2 linked regions of the Canis lupus familiaris genome follow. The protein of the gene in region 2 interacts with the protein of the main gene of each other region in a biochemical or structural test. Links are inferred from orthologs where the notes say so. Each region holds a gene or a part of one and is shown on either strand. Other genes may lie near its edges. The genes, in order: EPN1 and REPS2.

Region 1 (15,753 bases), on a different chromosome or scaffold from region 2:
AATGCCCAGGACGAGGAGAGAGGAAGGCAAGGGGAGGGGGGCAAGGGGAGGGAGAGACAGAATGAAGCAGGGAGGGAGGGACAGTCGACAAGCAAGAGAGGTGGGGGAGGGGGAGACAGAGCACAGGCCCTTAGGAGCTGAGGGGTGAGGGATGGAGATGGGATGGCAGAACCAAAGTCAAAACGCCCTGCCGCGCCCGTCACACCCACCCAGGCCAGTACCTGGTCAGCCTCCTCCTTGCTCATGGCCAGGGCTAGCTGGAGCTGCAGCTCCTCCTCCCCGCTACTCTGTGGCCACGCCTGTTCTGCCTCGGGTGGGGGCCCGGAGCCCACCGCTGCTGAGGAGGCTGCAGTGGCAAAAAGCAACTGACACAGGTGGAAAAAAAGAAGGGGACCCTGTAGCCCCAACATTGGGCTTCCACTGGGAGTGGGGGCAGGTTGGTGAGCCAGGTTTGTCCAGCACCCCCTGGAGATGAGGGACGGGGGTCAAGGAAGGACAGCCCTGCTGGCCCAAAACCACAAGTCCACCAGGTGAGGGAGGAAGCTTGGGAGCCTCAGAGCCCATGACCGGAGTTCCCACACTGTATGCCTGGGGCCTGGTACAGAGCCCATGGGGACACAGGTCCTTCATCCCTGGTCCCACAAAGCTCCCAGCATGTCCAGGGCCTGCATTTTCAGAGCTAGTGGAGAACTGTGTGGCAGGGACCAGCTGGCATTAGGGGAAGGACGGTACCAGCATCCTCAGCCCCCAACCCCATCCTGGGTGTGACTGACACAAGAGGTGACTGGCAGGAGGAAAGGGAAGGAGGGACAGAGAATGAGAAGGAGGTGACCACTTGCAAGGAGGGATGAATGGGGCACAGGGCCTAACAGGTAAAGAACCAGCTAAGCTTGGGGGACACGCCCACCTTCTCCTCCCAGCTGGCCCTCCTCAGAGAGCTGTCACTAATCTCTGACCTTGGGCAGCCCCCCAGCAGGACCAAGGGAGCACCATATGGCAGCTCCAGGGCCTGGGTGGAGGGCAGGGACATACCTGGGCCCTCAAGTGGCTCTTGGTCAACATTTGGGGGTGAACAGAACACTTCTCAGCTCTCGAGTCCCACAGTGTGGGGGAAGGGACAGGGAAGGACCCTCCTGTGAGGGGATAGCCTAAAGCTGAACTCTAGCCCACCTGGCTCGGAAGGAGGGGAGCAAGAGGGCTCAGCACCTGGACACAAGGCACCTGGCAAGGAGGCAGCCCAGACCCTTGGCCACCAGGGTATTTGAGAAAGCCGGGGTGGAGGAGGCTGGGCTGGACCTCCTGGGGGCAGCAGGCCTCACCAGTGGCAGTCTGTGCCAGCTTCTCTTTGGTCTTGAGCGCATGGGCACGCTCCTCTCGCAGCCGGTCCTCATCACGCAGCAGGGCTACCAGCTGTTTGGCCTTCTCACGCACGTTCACACCCTGGTCCTTGCCATCACGGTCCACATACTGGAAGTCCTTCAGCGTTTGCACAGCATACATGTTCTCCTTGCACTGCTGAGACACACGCTCCGAGCCGGTCTTGATGAGGTACTCCATCAGGGTCATGGCCTTCGGGGCAGGGGGGCACACCAGTCACTCACGAGGCAGCCAGGATCCCAGTCCCACATAACCAACCCACATAATATCAGCAGGTGGAGAAACAGACGTGGCCCATCAGCACAGCAGGCACTACCTGGGCATAAGAAAGGACGAAGCACAGCTGTGTGCTGCCACCTGCAGACCCTGAAGACATGCTGAGTGTAAGTAACCAGATGCCAGAGCACACACGGCCCACGATTGTGCTCACGTGAGACATCCTCAGGCACATCCACGAAGGAAGGAGGTTCATGGCTGCCAGGGGCTGGGTGACTCTTAATGGGAAGGGGTTTGTGTTCAGGATGACAGAAATACACTAAACCAGGGCGGCGGGGACAGCTGCCCACCCTGGGAACGTGCTCGATGCCACGGCACTGCGCGCTTTATGAGGGTGACTCATACGGCATGGCATCTACATGTGTCTCGATAAAAAGACATAAGTAGGGAAATAACAGGTGTGGTCACTGCAGCCCCACCTGGGCTTCCCTGAGGGGTGCAGACCCCGCTCTATTTCTCTAAAAGGAAAACCCAAAGTAAGACAGCCAAAGAGACATGCCTGTTAAACAACACTCAAGGCACCCAAGACACAGGAATGGAGCTGCTTCCCCTACCGTCCTGTACACCTGGGAAGTGTCACCACCTCCAATTTAAGACTTTCCCACTCTGAGGATGACAGGGAGGCAACTCCCTTACCCGAATTGGGAGTCTGGAGGGAGGTGCCGAGCCTGCAGGGGTGGTTGAGATCCTGGCTCTCTGTAGGGGACATGTGTGTCCTGGGAACAGGAGGAACAAGAGGACAGGGACGCAGGAGCACCTTGTGATAGCTTTTGTGTTTTAGGACAGGAGAACAAAGTCTCTTTTCAACAAGTTGAAATCAAATGAGAGGGTGTCTGAATGGCTCAGTCAGTTAAGCATTTCCCTTCAGCTCAGGTCAAATCCTAGAGTCCAAGGATTGAGTCCAGGATCGGGCTCCCTGCTCAGTGGAGAGCCTGATTCTCCCTCTGCCTCTGTCTCTCAAGCTTGTGCGCACGCATACCCGCACTCTTTCTTTTTCTTTCTCACATGAATAAATAAAATCTTAAACACACGCACAGAGACACACGTGAGAAAAAAATCCACAAGGCCGCAGACAAGGGTGCACCTCAGTGTGCGCCCCAGAACAAGGTGACACAAAGGGAGGACCTGGCTGATTCAGCTGAGCTGGCTCAGCAGTTGCAGGACCTGCCAGGGAGCCCTGCTGTGGGTCAGCACTAACTCCCTGCCACCCACGGGAGCCAGGCCTGGATCTGGCAGGCTTCCTGAAGGTGTGTGCCTGTAATCACAGATTAGTCTTTAACCAGCCCTTGGGGTGTTTATGCATTACAGTGGAAAGGAAAGAAGCAATCATGCTGCCAGTCACACCTGGGCTAGAAGGCAGGCAGGCTCCACCAGTCCTGGGCCAGCTGTGCTCGGACTAGAAGGGCAGCACATAGCACACATCACACACCAGTCTCCCAGCAGGTCAGACCAACAGTTAAACTATGTGAGACCAACAGATCCCAGATAAACCTTGCCTCAGTCCAGGATGGGACTCCCACCCAAAAAATTATAAGAACTCGTTTCCAGGGCTCTGGAAACTTTCGAAGTACAGTTAAATAGACAGTGAACCCGGAAATAACCCAAACACCCACCAAGAGTCAAATGCACATGTATGAGGCAGTGTGCTCATGTGATGCGAGCAGCACACGCAGCAAGATAATGTAAAGAAACCTCCCAGATGTGGCAGGGACCAACCTAAGCAGACACAAAGAACCATGTGCATGAGCCCATGGAAAGTTCTAGAACGAGCTTGGCAGACAGAAGGCAGGGTAGGATGCTTCTGGGGGAGGGGTGTGCTGAGCAAGCCTGGGGGAGCCAGGGACACCCTCTGTCTCCATCTGGGTGCTGGCTACACAGGTGTGTGCACGCAAGAGAGCAGATCAGGCTGTATGCTCAAGATGGGTGCCGCAACAGCAAAAGTGAACATTTTCTCAAAAGCAAGCAGCGGGACAACCCAACAGCCTCTGTTAATTTTCAAAACCACTTGCTCAGAGGTGGAACAACATTGGCATATGGGAGTCAGTCTAAAACAGGGACCGCAACCTTCTTCTAAAAGGCCCAGGTGATCAATAGCCCAGCTTTTCAGGCCACACGGCCCCTGTGCTGACCCCTCAGCTCCATGTGACAGAGGACACAGCCGCAGACGCACAGGCCTGTCCGCACCGACAGAACTTTACCTACGAACACAGGTGGTAGGCCAGCTTTGGCCCACAGGCCATAGCGTGTTGACCTCGGTTTAAGAAACAAAACTTGGGGCATCCCCGATGGCTCAGCGGTTCAGCACCACCTTTGGCCCAGGGCGTGATCCTGGAGACCCGGGATTGAGTCCCGCATCAGGGTCCCTGCATGGAGCCTGCTTCTCCCTCTGCCTGTGTCTCTGCCTCTCTCTCTCTCTCTCTCATAAGTAAATAAAATCTTAAAAACAAAAAAACAAAAAAAAACTTGAGACCGCTAAGTCCTTGAAGCAGGAGGTGACACAACTGAGCTAGGAGAATGGGGCTCCTCTCCCACCCCCTGCCCTCCTTGTGCCTCAGTGTCCCCTCCTAAGAGGGACCAAAAAATGTACTTCACGGGGGTTCTGTGCCCACAGCAGCATGTCTCCAGCAGAGCAGAGCCCCATAGGGCTCATCTCCCTACCACACGGTCCATGAGCCCCACCAAGCTGCTCTCAAGGTTTCAAGAGGCCCTCCCAGTCCTGTCCCCTCCCTTTACCTCCACACGAAGGCTCATCCAGACTCCCCACCTTTTCCCTGATTCTCAGCTACACAAACACCACCCAGTCCTTCACAACAAAGAGCCAAATAATTGAGGCAGCACAGACTCTGTGGAAATGAGGACCCACCCCAGGTTTGTTGAGATGGGCATACAAATGAGCCAGAGCATTTTCAGGTCTCAGGAACAGGACAGAGCGTGGACAACACAGGCCCCTGCTGGAGTCCATGGGTCTGGGGCTTCATCTGCCTGGTCCGTGGCCATAAAGAGTAGGCCCTCAACCAACATTCAAAGGCGTCGGCAGCAAGAGGACTCCCTGACACTGCTGCACCTCACACCAGCTCCACCCCCAGCAGCCAGACCCTCACATGGAAGGAGGTCCACAGGCCGCTCTGAGCCACACAGCCAGGAGTGGGACCTGGGCACCTGCCCCAGCCCATGCCCAATGCCAATTCCCAACCCAAGGGGAGGACACCAGGCCCCAGGATAGAAGACAGGAAACCATCTCACTGAGCATTGCCCAAAGACATGTTCCCTTTGACCACCACCCATGGTCTTGTCTGTTCACTGAAAGAGGACACATGCACGTGTCACTGGGGACCAGTCAACAGACTCTCTGAGGGGCACTCTACCTACATTTACCAAAATGACACAGGCATGCGCCCCTCGACCCAGAACTTCCACTTCTAGAGAATGACAAACATACAAGGATATCCATGGCAGTCCTGTTCATAGAAGCAATACATCACAGACCACTTAAAAATTCATCATTGGGTAACTAGCAGGTGACAGGAGAGAGAAAGGAAAAAAGGTAACAAATCTGCTATATTCTGATGTGAAACCATCTGTAATATTTAAACTCATCTTTTTTTTTTTTTTTTTAGAACTGGGGTACAGCTTAGATGTGATCAAATCCACCGGTTTTCATGTGCACTTCTGTGTTCTGATACAGGATGGTACCACGGCCCCCAAATTCCCTGGTGCCTGGGGACGCGCACACACGGGTCATCCTGGAAGACCACACACAAGCTGAGGACACCAGCTGCCCCAAGAGGGACCAGGGCTGTGTGTGCACAGAAGGACGAACACCATGCACCTGCTTCGACCCTCTATGTGGATGAATCTTGTGAATGCGCTGTTTTCAAAGTGAATTTAAGTCACAGGCCTCAAAATCTTAAACCCTTGTGTTTGTTGCCCTTGTTAAATGAGAAGAGGAACAAAAGGAGAGAGATTTCACGTGAAGACCTAGTACTCCAGCTTCTCCTGCAAACTGGGAAGGCTGGACCTGATGGCACTCCCAGCAGAGCCCCGCACCTGCCCATGAAGACGTGTGCACGTGAAGCCCGCTGCAGCCCGGGCACTGACCTTGTAGACGTGCCGCCAGTTCTTGCCATGGTCATTGAGCCGCTTCCAGATCATGCTCATGATCTCAGAGAAAGCAACGACGTTGTAAGTGAGGTCCGCGATCTCAGACATTAGGGAGCTGGATGGGCCCCAGGGGTCGTTGCTTGTGGCTTCTCGGACCTTGATCTCGGCCTCCGAGTAGTTGTGGACTATGTTTTTCATCTGGCGCCGCAGGGACGAGGTCGACATGGTGGCAGGTGGTGGCGAGCCCCTTGGGGTGTAGTGAGAGGAGGAAGCTCGAAGAAGCAGACAGCGGCAGGGGCTGCTGGGTCACCGCATCTGAGGAGGAAAGACCCTTTGGAAACACAAGTGGGACCTGGGGCTGGCTGGTGCACACCCTCCTGGGGCTCCCCGCTGCCCCTGGGGCCTAGAAGCTTCTGGCTTCTGTTAACCCCTGACTTAGGCAGTCTACCTTTCAGTTCCTCAAACATGCCCAGCTCCTTCCTGCTTGGGGGTGCTGCTCAGCGAGGCAGAATGTACCACAGAGGATCACAGGTTGGGACACCTCAGCTAGGCACATCCCGGCCACCTGCCTTGGGTGGGCCAGGAACTCTGGCATTTCCATTTTCCGCTCTAACAAGTGGGGTTTTATCCCGTAACCCAGTGGATAGGAAGTATGCTGTGAACACGAGATGAACACCCTGCTCTTCCTCTCCCTCACTGCCCAGGTCACTCCCAAGAGCTCCGCGTAAGATTCCCAAATTTCACACCCAAACACCATGGTCATTGTTGCCCAGGGGCTCCAGAGGCAGACTGTGCCACCCTCGTGACTTTATACTAGTCCAACTCTGTAGCTACAGTCGACCCTTGAACTCCAGGGGGACAGACACCACGTCTACATGGATGTGACTTTTCCAAACAGAGCAGCTGACTCAGAAGAGCTGGAAGGAGGGAGGGCAGGGAAAACCTCCAGAGCAGGAGTGGACAGGACAGACCCTGAGGCAGACACAAGGACACATGGAGAGGAGACCAGAAAGGAACAAAGAGGCGAGAGGCGGGGAATGCCAGGGGTACGAGGCGTCCCAAGGGTGGGAAAGCTGGAGGTTCAGGGAGGAGAGATAAGGATGAGCATGGCTGCTGCCTAGGTCCCTGCAGCATGCCAGGCACTCCTGGACCAAAAGATGACCATTATCTCATCCAATGCCACCAGCCTCATTCTAACTGACGAGAAGACAAGGGTTCATGGAGGCTTAACAACTCAGCCAAGGTCACACCCAGCACAGCAGCAGACTCAACCTCTGGCTGCTTGGACACCAAAACTTACACTTTTAAACTAACTGGTGCTGGAACGAAGGCAACGGAAGAAAGAGAAGGCTGGGAAGCAGGCAGACAGTGACCGTGACAGCAAGCAGTGACATGACCCTACTCTGGGCCAGGCATTCTGCCCCGTGCTTTATGCACAGTGACTCAACTAATCCTCCCAACTCCATGATTCACAGCATCTCACAGGGTAGGGAACTGAGGCACAGCAAGAGCCGCCTTTCCCTGGCTCCAGAGTGGACTCTGACAACCACAGTCCACATCTATGCCGACGAGCCTCCCACAACCCGCCTACATCCTGGGACAGGCAGCCAGCCCCAGCTCTGAACTCAGGCATTGAGACACACACAAAGACACACACAGTCAGGGGGCCGAGCAGGCCAGCCGGAAACACTGAGGTGAAGAGCTGAGGGGACCAACACAGAGGATGCAGAGGAACAGGAACAAGACAAACAAGTGGAGAAAGAGGCGTCAAGAAACCTGGACGGAGGAGACACAGCAAGCTGAAGCCAAAGGAGACAGACACGTGGCAGACGACACAGAGCAAACACAGAGACCCAGAACGAAAGGATAGCAACCTGGCACTGCAAATTTACAGGAGAAAAACATGGTACAGAACACACAAAGCTTGGACCCAAACTCTGGCTGTGAGCTACCAACAGGAGCCAGTCTGCACGACTCTGACACACAGCAAAGAATTCCTACCTGGCAGGCCTGGTGATTACATACGATGGGTACATACAGTGCTTAGCTCCCTGTCCCACACATAGTGGGACCTCAATAACGCTGCCTGCCAGTCACTACCAAAAGCAAAGAGCATTTCCAAAAGTGTGGTAATGGAAGATGCTCCATTCTAAGTGCAATTGTAGGAAAGTGCGTTAGAAAAAACGTCAGGGCATCACACAGCTAAGATTTCAGGTACTGCTTAGGATGGGACCAAGTTTTCCAAAATAAACGGATTCAAAGAAAGGTTATCAGATCAGACGGAGGACAAATGCGAGGGCAAATCCTGCGAGGGGCGTTCAAAGGACTCACAGAACACAGAGCGCGGGTCGGGATCTGTGAGCAATCATGGAATCCAGAGCTCCAGGCGGCGGACCGCAGGGCCACGTCCGTGCACACCCACAGCCCCGACCTGGCGGGCGAGGGGGCCTGGGTGTCACCCCAGATATACCACAGGCCGGCGAGCACGGATGGGGCCTGCTCGCGGAGCTCGGCTCCCGAGAACCCGCGGGAGGGCACAGGGGGGCCCGGGGCTGCAAGGAGGAGCGCGAGGACGGCAATGAATGGGAAACAGGCGACAGGTAAGCCCCGAGACCCGGGAACTGCAGACACGAAGCCCGGCCGTCACCCCTAGCGCCGCGCGCGGATCCCAGCGGACAGCGACGCCCGCAGCAACCGAGGCCAGGGCGCAGGCCGGCGGACACCCGAGGCCGGCTGGCCGCACACACACAAAGGCCGCGGGGCTGAGCCAATGGGCCACACGCGACGGACGCCCGAGCGCCCTCAGCCCGCTGCGCCCCTGGACCGCGCTCACCTCGGCCCCTCACGCCGGGCTCCGGGGGGTCATGGCGGGCAACCCCCTGCCCCCGCTCGGCCTCGGTGTCGCGGGGCGCGCGCCTGGCCGCGAGCGGCGGACGCACAGGCGCACTCAGGTGCACGGACGGAAGCACGGAGTGGGCCGCACGCCGACGGCCCCGCCGCCCCGGCGCCCGGGAGGGGCGCAGAGAGCCGGGCGGGGGAGGGGAGCCGCTGAGCGGACGGGAAGCAACCGGAGGCGACGGACCGGAAGCGGAAGTGGCGACGCGCTCCTCCCTCTGCGCAGCACCCGGCGTACTAGCCCGCAAGGAGCCTACGCAGCCGCCACTTCCGCGGCCCTACCCCCCCGCTCAGCGTCACTTCCGGCGCGCAGGCGCCCCAGCAAAACCCAGGGGTCAACCTCGGAGAGCAGGCCTTATTAGAAGGATGAGGGCCGGCCAGCGCGGCCGAAGGAGGCGGGGAAGGGACTGTGTAGTCGCCAGCTCACGCGGCCACGCCGCCCTCTGCACCTTGCGGCGCTTTGGGGAACTGGCGTCGCCAACACCGCCTCTCCACCGCGCGAACTAGCCTGCCGCCACGCCCCCCCCCTTCGGCCTGAGCAAGCGGCCACGCTGGCAGGGTGTGCCCCGAGGGCGCGCCAAGGGCGCGAGGGGAGAGGTCAGAGACTGGGGGACTCATACACACTGGACACCGAGCAGGCCCATAAAGTAAAATACAACAAAATGTTTAATGAGCAAATTCGTCTTAGCAAATATGAAACTGCCACAGAGAGGAAACGGGGGCCGCAGGTCAGGGAGACTAGAGAGGAGAGTCAACTACGTAAGAAACCAGGGAGGGCACAGGAGGGGGGGGGGGCGCACGGGGGTAGGACCGGAGGCCAGGAGGACGGGAGCTGTGGTCCTGGAGGGATAAGGCAGGGCACGGGGGAGTGTGGACAACAGAATTCAAAATAGTTTGGCCATAAAATATAAACACACTTATGTTTCTACAGTGGGGACGGGGGCGGGTAGGAGAGGGAGGAGAGGCTGTTCTGGGGAGGGGCCATGGGGGTCCTACCCGCCCTGCTGTGCACCCCCTCCCCGCCCCCCTTCCCTCTGTGTCTGTGGGTGCATGTGTGTGGGCCTGTGCGCACACTTCCCCATTGCCCTCCCCGCCCCGATCGCTGCCATTCCAGTTGCTGCCGGCTGTCGGCTGTCGTTCGGCTGTCACTCCTCTGCCCATCTTCTTCAGAGGGGGAAAAGGGGGGGTGGAGGGGGAGACACCCCCAGCCAGCCCTTCCCCCACCCTCCCCCTCCACCTCTACCAGAAGTCCCGGCGGTGGTAAGAGTCGGGGTCACAGTATTTTGTGACAACCACTCTGTTGGCGAACTTGCGACCGGTCAGGCCCTGCATGGCTTTCTGGCAGTCAAACACAGAGGTGAACTCCACGAAGATCTGCGGGAGTAAGAGGCAAGTGGTAAAAGCAAGGTGGCCTCAGCCCCAGCAACCAGCTAGCCTGCACAGAACCCACAACTCTGCAAGACAGACAGAGGGAGGCAGCGGGCCTTCCTGCAGATCTGCGAGCATTTACCCAAATGTACTCTCGAATCCCAGGATCAAAGAACAGAGCGCACAGAGCAGAGCTCAGGGGAGGCATCAGAGCGTGACTGGAGCCCAGAGCCACACCCACGGCAACGAGCTCCACCCGCCCTGCCGGTGCTCCTCCCTCCCCAAAGCTTCCCCAAGGGCCAGGTTCTCCCCAGAGACAGACAAAGAAAGCTCAGAAATTAGGATTCAAACCCAAGTTGACTCAAAGCAAGAAACAACAACAACAACAAAAAAAATAAAAACACTGATCCGGTCAAGTATCTCATCTTGTTTACACCACCAGTTTAGGGGATGCCTGGGTGGCCCAGTGGTTGAGCGTCTGTCTTTGGCTCAGGGTGTGATCCTGGAGTCCAGGGACCAAGTCCCACATCGGACTTCCTGCATGGAGCCTACTTCTCCCTCTGCCTATGTCTCTGCCTGTCTCTCATGAATGAATAAATAAAATCTTAAAACCAAAAACACAAAAAAACACCAGTTAAAAAAAAAAAAAAAAAAAAAAAAAACCGGTTTACAGGGAGTGGGTGAGGGGGAAGATACCAACCTAATTCACAACATGACAATTCTGTAAGACAAATGCCCTGTTGCTTCAACAAAATGACTCACCAAAAAAAAAAAGGGGGGGGGGGCATTACATAGAACTGCTAAGTTTTAAGAAAGTTCTAAATAAGATTGCATGAATCCTTGTTTGGATATTTAAATGGATCAAGTATAAAAAGACATTTGAGACGCTCAAGGAAATTATAATACAAATTTAAGTAAATCCTAAGAATAATTTTCTTATTGTAACAATGATATTGTACTTTCATTATAATTATTTAGAAGTTTTCTGTTAAAAGGGATCCCTGGGTGGCGCAGCGGTTTGGCGCCTGCCTTTGGCCCAGGGCGCGATCCTGGAGACCCGGGATCGAATCCCACATCAGGCTCCCAGTGCATGGAGCCTGCTTCTCCCTCTACCTATGTCTCTGCCTCTCTCTCTCTCTCACTGTGTGCTTATCATAAATAAATAATAAAATAAAGTTTTCTGTTAAAAGTTTAGAGCAGTTCTCAACCAGCACAAATGTGTCCCCAAGCAACATTTTGCAATATCTGGAGAGGTTTTAGGCTGTCACAAAGGAGGAGTGTAGTGCTACCATGTAGGAGCCCCCATCTACAGGGTGGAGACTGGCAATGGGGCCACACATCGAACAGTGCACAGCACGGAATTCAAAGAGCAAGACTTACCAGGCCCCAAATCCTAGTAGCTCAGATACTAAAGCAATACACTTGATTATTGGAGATAAAATATAGGAGATATGCGTTGAATTATTTCAGGAAAAATGAAGTTGGGAAATTAAGAATGACAAGTGAAGCTGGATGATGGGACACGACGATACTACTCTATGTGCCACAATGGAACTAAAGTGACCTACCATAGTAGGTCAGTGTGGTACTTCTACTTTTATGTATGTTTGAAAAGAAAGACAAAGTTTACAAACAAAACAGGAGGATCTCCGACACCAGGCCGGTCTTCCCATTCATCCTTCCCACAAATACTGACTCAGCCCCTCAGGAGCCAGGATCCATCCCAGCGCCCATGAGGCATGAGGGGAGCGGGTGCTTCCATCACACCACATACACCACACCAGTGAGGACTGGGAAGCAGAGCACGGGAGGAGAGAGAGGAAATGCTGCTCATCCCTTCATCACCCCCCCCCCAACCCTGTCCCTTGGTACCTGGCTCTCTTTCCACTGCTCCCTGGGCAATCCTATCCAGCTGACACCAAAATGAGGATCAGTGTGTTGATGACATCTGTTTCTATCAGAAATGTTTCCCTCATGCCTGGAATGCAGCTCCGTCCTCACTGCTTCACACATCTCTAATGAGGTGTCTCAGGACCTCAGACTGACAGCCCACTCTTCCCCAACACTGACCCCCACCCCCCACCCCCAAACCTGCTCATCTCCCTTGCTTCTCACCTGCCATCTCCACCTAGCTGCCAAAGCCCAGGAATCTGAGCATCTTGACTCCTCTTCCCCCTCCCAAATCAACCACCAGGATCTGGGTGTTTACAGGTAACGTGTCTTTCAAATCCATGGACTGACTTCTCTCCATCCTCTGCTGCTACTTTCCATCAAGTCACCATCTTCCGACCAAGTGACCATAAGCTGTTAGTTCCCAAAGTTCCAGGTCATACCACCACCACCTCTACCCCCCTCTGAATTCCCTGCCTGCAGAACCCAGCTCTGCAGGACTGGAGTAAGACCTGGACCTCCCTGTAATTCCTGTCCACGCCTACTTGATTATGAGGAACTCTATGTGCAAGGCAACAGACCACATTCCTGAACTTTCAAAGGCTTCCTTCTCACTTCAAGAACACCCAACATTCTTCCAGGACCCACACAGGCCTACAAGATCTGCCACACTAGGCCCCAGCTCCCAACCTCAGAACTCATCTCCCACTGCTCTCTGCTTAGACTATGCCAGCCTTGTCACCATCCCCAAACACACCAGGCTCATAACCCAGGAGATCTATGTTCATTGGGTTCCCTGCTCAGGACCCTACTACCTGGGATAACCTATTATCACTTGGGCCTGGTTAATATCAACTCTTAACCTTGACTAAGAGGTGTCTATTCCTGTCTAAGAACAGCATCCAGAGCAGAGCAATTCTACTCCCTTTCCAGCTACTATCACACATGTTGTCTTTGACAAGGCTGGCCCCAGGACTTGTTCTGCTTGAAGGCCTGAATCACTAGGTGAGCGGCTAGGGAAAGCTAAGTCACCCACTCTTCCCTGCCTCTCAAGAAGGGTTCAAGGTGCTGACACCTAGCACAGTGCCAGAAGTGACAGGACCCAGTGGGCTGTGGAATCAGACCATGTGGCCTGCATCCTCTGAGCAAGGGCTAAGAGAGCTGCCATGAGAGTTCATGTTGCAAAGGTTAAGCTCAGGGAGTACCTGGCACCCAGAAGACTCGAGTGGGTTTGCTGCTGTTCTGTTTTTAGCACTTTTCTCCCCACTTACAGACAAGACCGAACCACATATGTAAGATCACATGACAAAGCCAAGCTGTGAAGCACAGCTGCAAGACCACACTCCTGGGGGACCCTATACCCATGTGAGTCATAGCACTGGTGTGTACCCATGCACACATGCACACCTTTCCACAGCCGGGCACCTCGACGCCATCCACAGGCCGGGGGATCTCAATGGACTTGACAAGCCCATACTTGCTGCACTCATCTCGCACATCCTCCACAATCTCCTCATACTCCTCATCGTCTAGCAGCTCCTCGGGCAGCACCATGTTCATGAGGCACAGGACCTCCGTTGGGTGGCCGCCCATCTGTACCTGGGAGCTCATGAGGCCCGGCACTTGCAGGGTCACGGGGGTCTGGTTGATGGTGCTCTGTGGGGAGAAGGGGGGAGGGCAGGGCTGTCACGGCCAGGGCCACACCGAACCCCCAGAGGCCTACCCAGAGAATCACGTCCGCCCCTGAAGGCCCAGGAAAGCCAGGGCTGGAGCCGAAGCTTCTGAGGATCTGCTCCCAGCATCCCCCAGGCCACCCCGCCCCGCCCCTCCCCAGTATCCCTCTAGCCAATGGAAGATGACGTGCCGGGGGGCTCACCAGCGTGGCATTCTTGGCTCCCACACTTGCCCTCTGCACGAGCAATTTCTTATCTCCCAGCTGCATCCCATTCAGCCCCGCAATAGCCTGTGTGCGGAGGACAAGGGGGGGGGTGCAGCAGAAAGGTGCGGGTCAGGTGCAGGACTTGACGCCTCCCACCAAGCCCCAATACCCCAGAGCTGGGCACTGGTGGTGAGAGGAAAGGCCAAAGAGTGAGCACCTGGCAGGAGCCGGAACCAAGGGGAAGGGGCCCAGTCCCCCACACAGGACCCTACCTAAGCTGGCCTCCTCCCACCCATCCCCAGGAGGGCGACTTGGGAGTGGACACAGCAGGGCAGGGGCCCGGGCTCACCTGATCCGTAACGTTGATGTCCACGTACTCACAGAAGGCGTAGCCCTTGGAGAGCCCTGTGGCGCTGTCCTTGACCAGGTTGAAGGCCTTGAGAGGCCCAAACGACGTCAGCAGCTCTTTGACCTGCGGCAGGGCCGCAACTCCGTCAGGGCTGGTTGAGGTAAAGAGTGGGAGGGGAGAAGCCAGAAGGAGGCGAGGGATCTACCTGGTCGTCGTTCAGGTAATTGGGTAAGCCCCCGATGAACAGCTTGTGGGCAGAGTCCGGGACCACGGTGGACACAACTCCTGGGGGGAAGGGGAGTACATAGGCTTTGGTTTCCAGCACAGGGTCTTTAACCAAGACCCCGGGGTGTGTGCACAGGGCCTGGCCCATTATATCAGCCAAGGTGGCCCAGCAACGCTGACAAAACCACGGTCTCCCAAACCTATCCAGACCCTAAGACTCACACTAGCAGCTCTTCTTCGGATGTGCCACGACACCAGGGTGGCACCACAGCGAGGGTCCCCACTAAGGGGCCACACCTCAAACCTGCCAACCACAAGTCCTGGCAGCACTCGCCCTTACTGGTAAGACATCAGGATGACACACCTACACCCCCTCCGTCTTTCAGATCACAACCCCAATGCCATTCCTACCACCCAGACGTTTACATCAGGTCTCCCGTTGAGACCCTTGGTCCTTCTCTCTGTGGTCCCGAGCTTTTTGCAACCACAAAAACCCAGCAACTCCCTCTTTGGCCTGCTGCTCTGGGTCTGCGAAGGCAGGGACATGCCCAGTCGACTCAGCTTGCTGACCTCAGGGACATCACAGTGGGCTCATGTTTGTCGGCTGAATGGTTTAATGACTACTCTGCATCCACCCCAATCTTGCCATATCCACTCAATTTTGGATTCAGACACAAGTGCCTGCCAGGTGGCTCAGCCTGTTGTCCACTGGCTTCAAAAGCATGTCGTTTAATTCCCAGGGGCCTCCTGTGAGGTGTGAGCTACCCAGAGCCCCAGATCACTATCAGGGCTCATTGGAAGAGAAACACCACTGGTCAGGCCCGACCAGTTCCTGACTTTCCAAAGGCCAGAGCCCACTACCAAAAGCAGCATGGCCCGGCCCACCTCAGCAGTCCACACCAAGCAGCCCCTCCACACTTCTTCCTGACCTAGCTAGGGTCGGACAGGTGAAATGAAAGATGGCAGAAAGCATCAGACACTGAGTGACTGGACACAAAAAAGAGTGCATTTTCTCCTGACACCACCCCAGCCACTTCAACCAGAGCTAAGCACCATCAGAGTGGGGCCTGTGGGGGGGTGGGCAGACCATGAAGATCCAGCGTGTCCAAGGTAGGCTACGCAGAGGCCACAGGCCAGACACCACAGGTAAATTCATGAAGTCTACTATCCGTGCTCTCCAAAGCCCTATCCAGACAGGATAAACTGAGGCAGAGAAAGTTGGTTCTATCTTGGAGTCACACACACAGAAAGAGGGGTCCCCAAGCCCATAACACCTGTGCCTCCCACAGGCAGCTCTCGGCAAGCTAGGGACTTTACACAGGTACCAAAGCTCTGAACGATGGCTGACTAGGCAAAGCAGAGATTCCATCACCCCAGTAGGGAGTAGTGGCAG
Region 2 (15,106 bases):
AAAGGTAATATACATCTCTGTGTAAATTTCAGACGTACAGCACGATGGTTTGATTTATATATATTGTGAAAGATTACCACAATAGGTTCAGCTAACATCCATATTCTCATATAGATAAAATGAAAAGAAGGGGCCCCTGGGTGGCTCAGTCTATTGAGCATCTGACTCTTGATTTCAGCTCAGGTCATGATCTCAGGGTTGTGAGATCGAGCCCCACATCAAGCTCTGGGCTGGGCATGGAGACTGCTTGGGATTCTCTCTCTCCCTCTCCCCCTCACCAATAAAAAGAAAAGAAAAAGTGTCCTTCTTGTCATGAGAACTCTTGGGGTTTTACTCTCTTAATAACTTTCTTATATATTGTACAGCAGTGTTAGCTATGGTCACCATGCTGTGCATTACATTTCTACTACTTATTTATCTTATAACTGGAAGTTTGTACCTCTTGGTCACCTTTCTCTAATTTCCCCTCCCCTCTGCCTTTTTTTTGTTGCAAATTTGACACTTACTTCCTTGCTTTTAAGGTTTTATTTTTTAAGATTTTATTTTTTATTTTTTTATATATTTTTTAAAATTTTTATTTATTTATGATAGCCAGAGAGAGAGAGAGAGAGAGAGAGAGAGAGAGAGAGAGGCAGAGACACAGGCAGAGGGAGAAGCAGGCTCCATGTACCGGGAGCCCGACGTGGGATTCGATCCCGGGTCTCCAGGATCGCGCCCTGGGCCAAAGGCAGGCGCCAAACCGCTGCGCCACCCAGGGATCCCTATTTTTTTTAAAGTAACTCTACACCCAAGGTGGGGCTCAAACTTAAAACCCTGAGATCAAGAGTTGGATGTTCCACCGACTGAGCCAGCCAGGCACCCTGCAAATTTGACTTTTAAAAACAAAAGTCTTACTGCTGAAGATTTTGCCCAGCTTCAAATATTTATTTATTTTATGAAACCATATGGCAGACACCCCTATTCCTCCATGGTAAATGGACAAGAAAACAGTTAAGAAGCCTAGTTAGTTTTTCGTGCAGCACCTGTGGCCTTTTTCAGAGCAGGACCTTGGAGACTTGGTTTTTTCATCTCTTAAATGAGTTCAGGCCATCTATGGTCCACAGTTGGTCTGGACTGGCTACATAAAAATTACCCAGGGAGCTTGTTAAAATAGAAGTTTCTAGTGCTCCACCCCTAGGAGATTCTAATTAGGGAGGTCTGGGGTAGTATCTAAAAGTCTGTAATTTATAAAAATTCCCTGGATAATTCTCCTGTGCAGCTATATTTGGGAACCACTGGGCTTAGAAGGTCTAGAACAAACAGAATTGAGTTGGGAAGGAATTTCTGGTCTGTTTGAAGATTCAGGTAATACTTACGTGCCTGGAGCGGGATCCATATGGGGAAACTAATGCAGTTATGATGCAGAGGCAAATTGGAGCCAGATGATAGAAGATCTTTAACTGGCTGAGTGTCCCTAAGGCCTGTGGTGCTATGCCATAGGCCTTAGGGACCAATTGAAGGACTTTGAGGAAAGTGTTTTGATGAGAGAAGGTGCTTTTACAAAATTATTTCCTTAGTGTGTGCAGGGTGGATCAGACTGGGAAAATAACTGAAGGCTAGAAAAAGACCCACTGCAGTTTTTGCAGTGCCCCAGGTAGGAGGTTTAATAATGAGCACATGGACTGAGATGGGAGCTATGGGACCTTTGCAGAGCTAGCCTGCCTGGGTGGCACCGGAATCTGGGGCATGTTGTTTTAAGCTACTTTAAAAAAATCCATAATTTATCAGTATTGTGTTGTTCATCTACTTTAACTATTATAATGAATGAATTTATTGTGTTCATGTCCAGGAGATTTTAAAGGAAGCCCAGTAAATAAATTCATGTAGAGAAGTAGTTGGCAGCAGCGACAGCTGCTGTTGCAAGGAAGGAGGGAGGAAATGAGAAACAAAGGGAGGCCTTTCTTGCCAGGCGGCAACCCCATCCTTACCCTGCCTCCACATGCTTGGGGAAGGGGGTCTAGCAGAGGCTCCCCCGAGCTGGATCTGCCAAACAATCTGTAGAATGCTCCTCTCAAAGGATTAGGTGTGGAATGTGGCATTTGGCATTTGAGTCAAATGAAATATTTTTCCTTTGTTCCTCTAAACCCAGTCGGTAGGTCATTGTTTCCCAAAGTGTGTTCCACAGAACATAGTTCTGCTAGATATTAATAGGAGTTACATGAAAATAAGAAGTTGAAGCCAAATCATTTTGGGAACTGCTGGGTTAAGTGAAAGCAATGGCTTCCTTTACTTCACAGGATTTCAGAGTGTGTGTGATATGCTATGTGTTCTGTGAATTTCAAGAAGGGATATAGGCTATGCCATGTTCCCTAAGCTTATCTGTTTTCTCTAGGCCAGGCGTGACAAACTATGGCCCACAGGCCAAATCTGTCCCATCATCGTGTTTTTGTAGATAAAGTTTATTGGAACACAGTCACACCCATTATTGTGTTGTCTGTTTTTTTTTTTTTTTTTTTAAAGATTTTTATTTGAGAGAGAGCCAGACAATGAACAAGCAGGGGGAGCGGCAGGCAGAGGGAGAAGGAGAAGCAGGCTCCATATGGAGTAGGAAGCCCAATGCAGGGCTCCATCCCAGGACCCTGGGATCATGACCTGAGCCAAAGGCAGATGCTTAACCAACTGAGCCACCCCGATGTTCCATTGTGTTGTTGTCTTTGGCAGCTTTAGCACTCAGTAGCAGTGTAGCACGTTTGTATTGGAGACACACAGACCAAATGGCCTGTAAAACTGAAAATATTTATCTGGCTCTTTACAGAGCCTATCCTTGGCTAGGCAATTCATAGAACTGATATTCCCTGGAACTCATATTTGAGAGATACTGCTATAAGAAGATAGAGGTGGGTTGTTCTAGTCCTGCTTGTGATGAATCTGCTTAATTTTATTCAGCTTTTATGCTGCCATATTTCTTTTCCTCTTGCTTTAAACTCTTTCCTCTCAACCATTTATCCATTGTTGAAGATCAAAATCTGGCTTCCATGTGTCATTGTTCTTTCCTTTCACTTATCACATACCATCAATCACCAAGGATGTAGCTAGTGTCAAGTTTACATAGCTCTCAAATATGCCTATTCCCCACTTCCACCAGACTGATTTAAGTGACCATCATTTTTTGTCTTGTTTTCATTTTCAATGTTTTAAGTGGATTGCCTTTGCCCACTATGGGTTGCTTCTAATCCAGGCAAGGGCATATCATCCATCTTGATAGAGTTGTTTCGTATTTTAATATGTGGAGGAAAAAGGGAGCTGCTGAGGCCCCCCTGTTTCATGGGTTATCGTTCTCTCCAAGTTGTTAGTTACCTTAGAAAAGTCTGTAGAAATAGCAAAGAAATCTCCCAGGCTTTTTTGGCTTTCCAGCTGCTAAGCCTTACACTATTTTCCTGAGGTAAAGTGAAATAGTTTCTTGCAAAGAGGGGCTTTTGTACCTCTAAATCTCATCTTTAGTTTTTTGTTTAGTTTAGTTTTGTTTTTACCACAAAGCTCATTTTCTTTGCTCATCTCTTTTTCTGGGATAATGTCTGGCTCCAGTGAAGCTCTACCTTTCTAGGACCTTCGTGATTCCCATGCTTCAGGCCCCTCACAAGATTCCACTCCTCTGAATGTTCAATAGATGGAGTCATTTAGAATCAGTCATGGGGTGGGGAGGGGAGGTCTTGATGTTCCTCCCAAGGAGGTTGGTGGTTAGATTCCACCTGACATAGCACCGAGGAGCTGTTTGTTTTCGGTGGTGGAGCTAGAAAACCAAGGCCTTTGGATACAGTTTCAGGAAGGTAAACATATAAGTGGAAAAAAAATTGTCATACCCTTTTCACAACTTGCTTTTTCATCCTTATCAACTCCCACTCCAGTGTTGTTTGGATTTTTAGAGATGTTTAAGGGAAGAAAGCAGAGGCAACGATAATGATAGTCTACTACTTTTGCTGTGCTTAGAATCCTTATTTTTGTTGGAGAATCTGATTTATTATTTCCCCCGTATTTTCCACGAGAGGGAGACTGCTCATTTCCCCAGGAAAGGAAGCATTAGGGCAAATGCTTCTCTCTGCCTGATGATGGAGGAGAGAGCTGAGCAGGTGAAAGGCGGGGAGACTAATCAGTCACTCCTTTTCTCTGTGACTAGCTGGCAGGATATGTCAGTGCATACCTGTGGTCCTGCAGAGAGCTGCATGCATAGACTTGAGGCCAGAACATTTGTGTTCCAAGCAATAGATTTGGGGATGGAAGGTAAGAAGGGGCATCAAGTCCAAGTTGTGTTCTTCCACACAGGTCAGGGGAAATCCTGCATTCAGGAGTTTATTGGGCCCTCACTCAGCCATTAATAAAGCTGACATTGGACCTGTGGATCTTTTCTTTTCTTTTCTTTTCTTTTCCTTTTCTTTTCTTTCTTTTCTTTTCTTTTCTTCTTTTTTTCTTTCTTTTCTTTTCTTTTTTCTTTCTTTTCTTTTTTTCTCTTCTTTTCTTTTCTTTCTAGAAAGAGAGTGTGAAAGAGTGACTGAGTGTAAGAGCAGAGGGAGAGGGAGAGAATCCCAGGCAGACTCCACACCTAGTGAAGAGCCAGTTGTGGGGCTTGATCTTAGGACCCTGAGGTCATGAGCTGAGCTGAAATCAAGAGTGGGCACTTAACCTCCTGAGCCACCCAGGTGCCCCTGGGCCTGCAGATCTTAAAGTATGACATTATTTGTCAGAACCCTGAGGGAAGGTGGGTAAAGTCTTACTTACATTCCTCATACTCCTGATAAGGAATGGCTCCTGGATAGCTTTGCACAGGTGTTGCCTGAGTGTTTCAAACTCAGTGTGCCTGAAAGTGAGCTCCCCTTACATTTGCTTCTCTCATGGTTCCTGTCTTGGTGACAGATCTCTTACTGTCATGGTATCCTAAATTGGTGTTCTGGGTACTGGAGCTTCCTTCCTCACTATCCCTGTGCACTGGGCTGCACCCTACTTATCACTCAGGTCTTAGCTGTGATATCACCTTCATTCAAGTCTTTGCTCACCCACCCGGCCTGGGCCCTCATACTTCCTCACCAAAGTCTGAATTCCACTGAAGCATGCTTGTCCCATCATTTCTCTGCCTTTTCTGCTAGACTTCAAGCTTCTTATAAGAAAGGTCTAAGTATCATTTATCTTGAATAACAGATCTAGCACAGGGCCTGCCTGCAGTAGCTGGTCAATAAATATTTCTTGAATGAGTACCACTCGGTCCCAAGAGTACCTGAGGCTATATAGCATAGTGGTCACAAGCCCGACATTGGAACCTGAGGCCTGGGTTCAGACTCTGCTGTTTGTGTGATCTTGGGTAAGTTCTTCAACTTCTTGATCCTCAGTTTCTTCACCAATTAGATGAGGGTAATAATTCCTTCCTAGGGCTCTGATGATGAAATGCTTTCATCTATGCAGAACACCTGGAGAAATGTGTGACACCGTGTTTGGTGTTTCAGATAACTATCGACAACAGTAGCAATACAGTTATCCTTAATGGAAAGGAGAAGGCTATAAGCAAAACTTGGAATGAGAAATAAGGCATATGGAGTGCTTGCAAAATGGCTTTGGAAGAGGTGGACTGGTGATAGGGAATTGAGGTTTCTAGCTAGGGCAGTGCAAATGTAGGAGCAGACGGGCTTGCTGTGGAAAAGAATGAATGGTGATGGGAGGAATAGGGTGGGAGATCCAAAGACAGAATCTTGAGAAATCCTACATCTGAGGGATAAGAGGGGTCAAAACAGGAAAGAGAGATAATAATTACCAGTAGGAGATTGTGCTTCATCAGATGCCAGGGACAGGAGTTTTAAAAAGATAGTCAGGGGTGCTGTGCTGGGCAGAGGCCTGGGAAAAAACTAGAAGAGGCAGCAAGAATCCGATAAATAGGGGAACATTTAATGCCCCTGTCTGTTACAGAAGAGGTGGAAGAAGAAAGAAGCCAGGCTCTGGAAGGAGTTAGAAAAGGCCGGGTTAGGAACAGGATGGACATGTTAAGGATGATTGTTGTGCTGCAGTGTGTGTTTCTGAAATGCATATTAATCTGTGGGTAGAGGACTGATGTCACTATAATGAAGAAGTCACATTAGTTCATATGGAGCATTTTTTCTCAGCATGTTAACACTTTGCATTATTGGCTAATAGCAGCTGAGTGTAGCAAGCCTCTTGGAGACCGGGAACAGCACATGGCATCTAGTCTCCCTGTACTCTTCTGCTTGACTCTTTGGCACCTGCTCAGTCTCAAAGGGCTTTGGAGGCAGTCCTCACCATTCTTTGTGCATTTGTCCATCGATTCCATACTACTTGGTAGCCTCAACCCTTCTGTTTACTCCTTCCATTAGACTCCCCCACTCCTGTGTTTTTTAAGGTAAAGAGTCATGTCTCTTAGAGTGTTTTTCTTAGGAATTTAACATTTTTAAAAATTTCAATTTTTTTATTATTATGGTTACTATTTTTGTTAGTGCTTGGGTTAAAATTTTAACAAATTTCCCAGCCTTTTTTTTTTTCGATAAGCCTTATTTTTTTAGTTTGAGCTTGTAAAACATTAGTTTTTAGCAACACCTGTGTCTAGTTATGGACATTACTGCAACTCCTTTTCCTAATATTGAACAGTACTGGAAGGGGGCATGGGAGGGAATGGCAGGGTCTAGGGAAGATTTTCTCCGGGGTCCACAGACTTGACCACACTTGGCTGCATGTTGGTCTAAATCACTTACGCTTAGTGACATTTTCTAAGTGCTCTTCATTATATATTTAGGTGGTTATGTTTTTGCATTTTTATCTTCTGTATGATATTTTGCTACAGTCTGAACAAGTGTCTGAGGCTGAAATACACCCCCAGCTGAACAGAGCTCCCTCCCAGGTTGCTGAGAGTAGTCCAACGAAGAAGGTAAGGCCTGCGGGAAGGTGCCCCTGTGATGGCACTGTGAGCCCCTCCCCTGGGCTTCTTGTCTCTATTTGCAAATCTGTTTTGCTTTGGTGTCTGTGTCCTGACCTGAATGGTAATGATCCAGCTTTCCTATAATTTGGGCTCTTTGTGAAGATTAGGGTGCTGATGATTCTTGGGCCTGACCTTGATGTCACTGACCGTTTGTACTTCCCTCTTCAGCCTTTGAGCTAAATATGGTGGCTTTGCTTTTGGCAAGTTCAGGAGGTGTGGTGGGGAGGGCCTTTGGCAGAACCCTGCAGGTTGCTGAGTGTCTAGGAGCACCTCTGGTGGGGGCCGGGAAGTCTGCCTTCCTTTGTCTGTGTGCCATGGTCCCCTCTTGCATCCCGGCATCTTCACCTTAGCCCACTGGTGTCACTGAGTCCCAGATTACTTACTCAGAAGGCACCACTCACTTTTGCTCTCTGTTTACCTTCTTACCCTCTTCTGGCTGCACCCTGTTTTTCTAAGGCCCTCCTCTGATCAGAGCATGGGCCCTGGGCCTGGGAGCACAAGTGAGGAGGGGACTCCTAGGAAGCCAGCTGGCTGTCTCCTTCCAGAAGACATTGTGGCCCTTAAGCTTGACTTCATGTATGAATTGGGAGTGGAAGAATGAGGAGGTGACTGAGACTATCACAAACTTCAAAGCTTACAACATGTTCCCACAGGCCCCAAAGTGAGGCAAGAGTGAGCTTTGTCTTCAGTCAGAAAAAGCCTTGTGGTGTGAAATGCACATAGCATTTAAAAAAGGAAGGGAGTTCCCATTGGAATCTGATACCTGTGTCCTTTCAGGTGCAAAAAGCAATAATATGCTGCAAGCATGGAAAGAACAACAAAAAAAGAAAGGCTCCTGGAATCTGATGCCCGTGTGCCTCCTGTGTCATCCTCCCCTCCCCCCCTTGTGAAGTCATGAGTCAACCTTACATCCTCAGGTGTGGAGTTTGAACAGAGCACACACCTGACCTGAGGATGGGCATAGAAGGAACATGAGGACATTGGCAAGATGAAGGGAGCATTTCTGTTGTGAACTTCGGGGTTTTATTGTTTTGTATTTAATCTGCAGGACATACCACATTCTCAGCCTCCATCAAAGCCCATCCGAAGGAAGTTCCGACCTGAAAACTCAGCTACAGAAAGCCAAGAGCCTCCTAGCACTGTTGGGCCAGTGTCGGCAGCGAGCGGGAAGCCCCACGCAGCAGTCCAAAAGTATGTACGGCAGATCACGGGACTCAGACACCAGCTTTCCAGTTTTTGTATGTGTGTACCTGGAAATCTGTTTGCATTTATACTCATGGCCATAGAACGGTGTGATTTTATGGTTGTAGTTTTGCCTTCTTGTCTCTGTGGTGGTACTCTTCCCGGGCACCCAGGAAGAGACCTATGCTCTAGAACCTAACCTGAGCCAAGGGCCAAGCAAGTACAAAGATGTGCTGTTGCAGTTTGCTTTGATTTCCCTCTCTTCCTTTCTCCTCCTCCTCTCCTTCCTGCCCTGCTTCCTTGTGCTGGTGCGCGTTTTCCTAGGAAGAAGACAGTGATACAAATGGCCCTTTTTCCTCTTTGCCTTCTGGTGCTCCCCCAGGGCAAATGGCTAGCTTTGTGACCCTCAGACCCAATTTTAAGTACATGTGGCTTGTGATTTCTTTTTATTCCCCACGAAAAAAAATTTTTTTTCCCCACGAAAATTTTTATTGTCGATCATCTCAGCACAGATGGTCACATGTGGAGCCTCCAAAATAGCTATGTGACTGGCTGTAACAGTTATGTGAGGGGGGCACCCATGGACAAGGCTAGGAACTGAGAGAACAATGTTCCTGACAAACCAGTTTTCTACAGAGGGTTTTGTTTTAAGAAAACCTATCCCTTGCCTCAGTTTTTCTGTAGTGGAATTAAGCAGTGTTGAGAGCAGAAACCTGCTGCTGTGCATAACTTCATAAATGAACTTGCCTGGTCACTAACATAAATGCTCAACATACGCCCTGACACTGCTCTAGTGGCCTTGTAGATCCCAGGGGCTGCTGTGGTTTTCTCCTGCTTATACTGTTGTAGAGAAAGAAGCAACAGATTCTGTGGGCGCGACTTGCCTCTGAAGCCAAAACCCCATGATGAATCCATACAACACTCTTCAGATAATGTTTTTTGTGTCAGTTCTTCCAAATAGACAGTTCCCTAGCAGTATCAATGCATAAAGGAAATATATTTTGTCCTTAATGGCCACTGAGAGCTTTGACTGTCTTTCAGTCACTGTCAAGCCTAGGGGATGAATCCATGTCAGGGACAAGGATGGCTAAACTTGCTTCTATGTGCCATCTTGGCTTTCCACGGTGGTCTCTGCTTCACATCACTGTTAGTCAGGGATGGCTACAGCACCCTCTGTGCTGGATGGAGGGCAGCTGGCAGAGCTCATGCAGAGGTCTTTTTCTGTTCCTTTCCTTTATCTGTGTGTTTGTTTTTAAAATAGCTTTCATTTTTTGTAGATTTTATTTATTTTTTCATGAGCGACATAGAGAGAGGCAGAGACATAGGCAGAGGGGAGAGGCAATACAAGATTGGGGAGCCCAGTACAAGATTTGATCCCAGAACCCCGGGATCATGACCTGTGCTGAAGGTAGATGCTCAACCACTGAGCCACCCAGGTGCCCTTTAAACAGCTTTCTTCAGATGTAATTCACATAGCAATATAATTCACCTTTTACATGTGCAATTCAGTGGTTTTTAGTATTTCCACAAAGTTGTGCAACTGTTGTCACAAACTAATTTTAGAACATTTTCATTGCCCCCAAACGAAATTCTGTGGGTTAGCAATCACTTTCCATTCCTGTCCCATGTCCCAGGCAGCTAGTCATCTACTCTGTGTCTCTCTAGGTTCGCCTGTTGTGGCCATTTCATGTGAATGTAATCCTACAGCACACGGTCTTCTGTGGCTGGCTTTTTTTTTTTTTTAGTTAGCATAATGTGTTCAAGGTTTATCCATGCTGTAGCCTGAGTCAGTACTTGATTCTTTTTTATTGCTAAATAATGTCCCATTGTATGGATATACCACATTTATTCATTCATTACTTGATGGACATTTTGGTTGTTTTCACTTTATTTTTTTTTTTTTAATTTTTTTTTAATTTTTATTTATTTATGATAGTTACAGAGAGAGAGAGAGGCAGAGACACAGGCAGAGGGAGAAGCAGGCTCCATGCACCGGGAGCCCGATGTGGGACTCGATCCTGGGTCTCCAGGATCGCGCCCCAGGCCAAAGGCAGGCGCCAAACCGCTGCGCCACCCAGGGATCCCGGTTGTTTTCACTTTAAAGCTGTAAAGAATAATGCTGGCATACTATGTGTGTACACGTTTTAGTGTGGGCTTACATTTTCATTTGTCTTGAGTATGTACCTAGCAGTGGAATTGCTAGGTCATATGGTCACTCTATATTTAATATTTTGAGGACTTGCCAAACTGTTTTCCATGGTAGGTGCAGCATTTTACAGTCCTACCAGGAACATATGAGAGTTCTGGTTCCTCCTGGTATTTTTGGTCAACACTTGCTGCTATTTATTTATTTTTTAAAATTATTACAGCCATCCTAGTGGGTATGAAGGAGTATCTCATTATCTTTTTGATTTACATTTCCCTAATGGCTAATGATGTTGAGCATCTTTTCATGTGCTTATTGGCCATTTGTTTATCTTTGGAGAAATGTTTACTTGATCCTTTGCCCTTTTCTGCTTGGATTATTTATCTTTTTATGTTGAGTTAGGAATTCTTGACCTGTTCTGATTACACATCCCTTGCCAGATAAATGATTTACAAGTGTTTTCTCCCATTCTGTAGATGGTCATTTCACTTTCTTGATGGTGTCATTTGCAGCTCTAAAGTTTTAATATTGATGAAGTCCAGTTTATTTTGTTTTCTTTTGTTACTTGTGTCTTTAGTGTCATGGCTTGGAAACCACTGCCTAACTCAAGTTCATGAAGATTTTTTCCTGTGTTTGCATCTATAGGTTTTATAGTTTTAGCTCTTACATCGAAACATGTGGTTAATTTTGAGTTCATGTTTGTGTATAGGGTAAGGAAAGGACCCAACTTCATTCTTTTGCATATAGATATCCAGTTGTCCCCACATCGTTTATTGATGGAGATATTTTCTTTTATTTGCCAGTTTAGTGACTGTCCCTCATTGTGATACTCTCTCACTAGTTAGGTGACCACATGGTGTCAGACTGAGAGACGCTAGTGATCACCAGGAACACAAGTAGTGCTGTAAATGGCAGGGATGTAAGCTTTGGGTTAGAGAATTTCATACAGCTTGTTATCATTCCCAGACTAGTTTATTTTGGAGTGATAAGGAGCAACTTAGAATTTATCATTTTCTTAAGCCCTGGAGAGAGAGACAGCCAGACACATGATGGTTAGTCTGTATAGTTCTTTCTCAACCAGGGTTCTGGGAAAGAATGAAACTCTGATGCCCTTAGACATCCATTGTCTGTAGGAACTTAACCTCTCTCCTATGCATCTAGAGTGGTATTTACTGTGTATTGTTTTGGGGGAAATTGACAAAAGAGTGACAAGTAATTTTCTTAACTGTCTAACAGAACACTGGTTAAGAAAGGCTAAAAAAAATAAACTAGGGATCCCTGGGTGGCGCAGCGGTTTAGCGCCTGCCTTTGGCCCAGGGCGCGATCCTGGAGACCCGGGATCGAATCCCACGTCAGGCTCCCGGTGCATGGAGCCTGCTTCTCCCTCTGCCTGTGTCTCTGCCTCTCTCTCTCTCTCTCTCTCTCTCATGAATAAATAAATTAAAAATCTTTAAAAAAAAAAAAAATAAACTAGTTGGAAAATGGTCATCAGGTCTTCGGGAAATGAACATCAGAACTGACCTATTGTAAGAAACAAATTCTTCTTCATATATCATCATTGTCTATTCCATTTAGGGCAAAGGAAAAATAAAATAATCTTTTCTAAGTGAGCTGCTGAGTCCAGATTATAACTAATAAACAACTCTTGGATTGTGTCATAATTACTGAGCTGCTTGTGAGGACAAAAGTGGTTTTTTAAAAAAGATTTTATTTATTTATTCATGAGAGATCCAGAGAGAGAGGCAGAGACATAAGCAGAGGGAGAAACAGGCTCCCTGGGAGGAGGCTGATGTGGGACTCGATTCTGGATCCTGGGATCACACCCTGAGCCAAAAGCAGACACTCAACCACTGAGCCGCCTAGGTGTCCCAAAAATGGTTTTTTTAAAAGAAATAATGTGACTTACTTGTTTTTTTCCCTCATGTCTTGTACATCTTGTATAGATGGACCTTGGGAAAATAGAATGGTTTGAACAGTTTGGAGAGAGAGGGTGTTGTATAACAGTACTATGACTGAAGCTGTTCCAGCTTCCATGGTTTTTGCTCTTTTCTGTAAACTCTGGAAGTGTCCTGGACCACCCCAGAGCATGCCCAGCAGCCAGTGTGACAGTGTCTGCTTGCCTGCATGATGTTCTTAGTGTGCTTGGATTCTGTTTTCCTTCCTGCTGCATGCTTAATGGTACCAGATTGTCTGTAGGGTCAATGAGTGGCATTCCTAATAAAAACCTGCTATTTCCAAGTAGAGAAAAGGTAATACAAGTTCACTTCTTAGACGCTGTACTCATAATTCCGTGGGAGAAATTGCGGCTCAGGTTGAAGGCTAAGAAGATTTTTCTTATCTAGAGACCCCAGTTTACATTCTTTCAAATATTGGTTCAGCTGCTTGAATGAAACCCAATTAACAGGCACTCAGATAAAAATAGAAATTGACTTCTTTCTTGTGTAGAAGTCTAAGTTGGTGAGTGGTCCCAAAGTGTAGATTAGCTCTGTGCATGAACCCGGGTACTTTCCTGTATTCTTATTCTGGATCCCTGTGGGGGTTGCCTTTATCTTTATGGTTGAAGATGGCTCACTAACATGTTCACATTCTAGACCCCGGAGTGGGGATGGAACAAATGGAGAGAAAACAGGCTATTTTTAAGGGGATGCCTCAGAAGTGGCATCTCTGATTGCTTTGGCCCAAACTTAAGTCATATGGCCTTACCTACCTGCAAGAAAGACAGGGAAATGGAATTTCTAGTTAGAGGGCCATGTACCTCACTCAAACTGAGAATGCTAGGCTACTGCAAACAAGAAGGCACAAGAATAGGTTTTGGAGGACAGTCTGCCACTGTCCTTGAGTGGACAGTGCCTCATGGTGCTGCTGTTCTAAATTGATAGATAGCATGACACACAACAGAGCCAGACAAAACAAATGTCTACGTAAGTGTTACTCCTTCAGTTTCCTCCCTGGAAGCCAGGCTGGTTAGAGTACAGCCTGAAACAGTACAAATATTAGGAGAACCTGAAGAGACAGACTCCAGAAGCAACTCTTAAGAGGGTGAGGCAGGTTAAATGCTTTGGTGACCCCTTCAGAGGTATTCTGGGCTTGATCCTATCTTTGTGTTATTTAGGACTCCTTTGGTAGCAAATGATAAAAGGCAACTTGAGGTAGCAAAACCATACTCTTTATTATTTTTTAAAGATTGTATGTATTTATTTGACAGAGAGCAGGAGAATACAACAGGGGGAGGGGTAGAGGGAAAGGGAGAAGCAAGCAGACTTCCCACTGAGCAGAGAGCCAGGACTCTGGGATCATGACCTGGGCTGAAGGCAGAGCCACCCAGGTGCCCCAAAACTATACTCTGTATTATAAGGATATAGAGGTGACCCGGGGAAATCAGGGGCAGGAGTGGATTGGAAGAAAGGATTGCAAACCTTCTGGGGCTCATTCTGATGCCTCTCAGTTTTCTTAGGATGTTTTTGACATTTTTGTCTATGAAGACTTCTCAAGCACCTTCAACTGTAGAGATTACTGTGCTGGGCCCAGGCTGAACTGAATTATTAGCCATAACTCAAATCATTCGGAGGGAGAATCTGGTCAGCTCAGCAGGGGCCAGCATCCATTTCAGTGTCAAAAGAGAGGTGAACATGATGATGCCTGGGTGGCTCAGTGGTTGAGCATCTGCCTTCGGCTCAGAGCGTGATCCTGGAGTCCTGGGATCGAGTCCTGCATCGGGCTCCCTGCATGGAGCCTGTTTCTCCCTTTGCCTGTGTCTCTGCCTCTCTCTCTGTGTCTCTCATGAATAAATAAATAAAATCTTTATAAAAAACAAAATTATTTTAGACATTCTAATTCTTCTTTCCACATAAATTTTGGAATAATTTTGTCTTGATCTACAAAAAAAATCTTACTGAGATTTCGATACAAATTTTGTTAAACCTTTGGGGTACCTGGGTGGCTCAGTTGGTTAAACGTCTACTTCCCCCTCACCCCTGACCCTGCTCATGCTTTCTTTCTCAAATCAATCAATCAATCAATCAATCTTTAAAAAATTAGAAAAAAAGGAATTGTGTTATCTGAGGAGAATGGACTTTTTTTTTTATTATGTTGAGTCATCCAATCCATGAACATGATGAATATTTCTCTATTTATTTTGATCCTATTTTTTCATTAGTGTTGTATAGTTTTCAGCATGTAAGTCTTGTAGTTGTTTTGATATATCTAAGAATTTTGGTTTGAAGCTTTGTAAATATTGTATTTTAATTTTTCTGTAAGTATTCAATGTTAGTATATCAAAATTTTATTGATTTAAAAAATTATCTATTGTTTTTTTGAGAATTGGGGGAGAGAGAGAGAGAGAGAGAGAGAGAAAGAGAAGAGCAGAGGGAGAGGGACAATCAGACTCTACGCTGAGTGCAGAGCCCAACGTGGGGCTCAGTGCCACAACTCGGAGATCATGACCTGAGCCGAAATCAAGAGTCAGACATTTAACTGATTGAGCCATTCAGGCACCCCCATTCTATTGATTTTTGTACGTTAATCTTCTCTCCTCCACACTCACTTCTATTCTAATTGAAGTCATTTATTAGTTCTGAGAATTTTTTTATAGATTCCTTGGAACTTTCTATATAGGCTATTATGTCATCTGCAGATAGGGACAATTTCATTCTTTCTAATTTGTGTGCCTTTAATTTCCTTTTCTTGCATTATTGTGGTGGCTAGGACTTCTAGCACTGTATTGAAAATAGTAATGAAAGTAGAAATCCTTGCTTTGTTCCTCATCTCAGGGGGAAAGCATTTAGTTTTTATTATGTATGTATGTATGATGTCAGCTGTAGTTTTTTTTG

What was found.
Region 1: the proteins of REPS2 (region 2) and EPN1 form a complex in vitro, tested with the Homo sapiens proteins (3 studies listed by BioGRID and IntAct, with this or other methods). The link is inferred for Canis lupus familiaris from reciprocal best matches to the Homo sapiens genes REPS2 and EPN1.

Annotation. Positions count from the first base shown.
Region 1 is NC_049222.1:102,830,937-102,846,689, forward strand, and holds the start of EPN1 (epsin-1), read right to left. Parts: upstream 8,790-15,753; 5' UTR 8,588-8,789; intron 8,217-8,587; exon of another isoform or gene 8,086-8,216; intron 6,086-8,085; exon of another isoform or gene 6,070-6,085; 5' UTR 5,980-6,069; coding exon 5,752-5,979; intron 1,570-5,751; coding exon 1,320-1,569; intron 347-1,319; coding exon 222-346; intron 1-221. Other genes in the region: U2AF2 (splicing factor U2AF 65 kDa subunit), read right to left, coding at 9,889-10,023, 13,315-13,563, 13,772-13,870, 14,136-14,258, 14,341-14,420. UniProt on the Homo sapiens protein: Binds to membranes enriched in phosphatidylinositol 4,5-bisphosphate (PtdIns(4,5)P2). Modifies membrane curvature and facilitates the formation of clathrin-coated invaginations. Regulates receptor-mediated endocytosis.
Region 2 is NC_049260.1:13,357,648-13,372,753, forward strand, and holds part of REPS2 (ralBP1-associated Eps domain-containing protein 2), read left to right. Parts: intron 1-6,814; coding exon 6,815-6,898; intron 6,899-7,997; coding exon 7,998-8,140; intron 8,141-15,106. UniProt on the Homo sapiens protein: Involved in ligand-dependent receptor mediated endocytosis of the EGF and insulin receptors as part of the Ral signaling pathway. By controlling growth factor receptors endocytosis may regulate cell survival.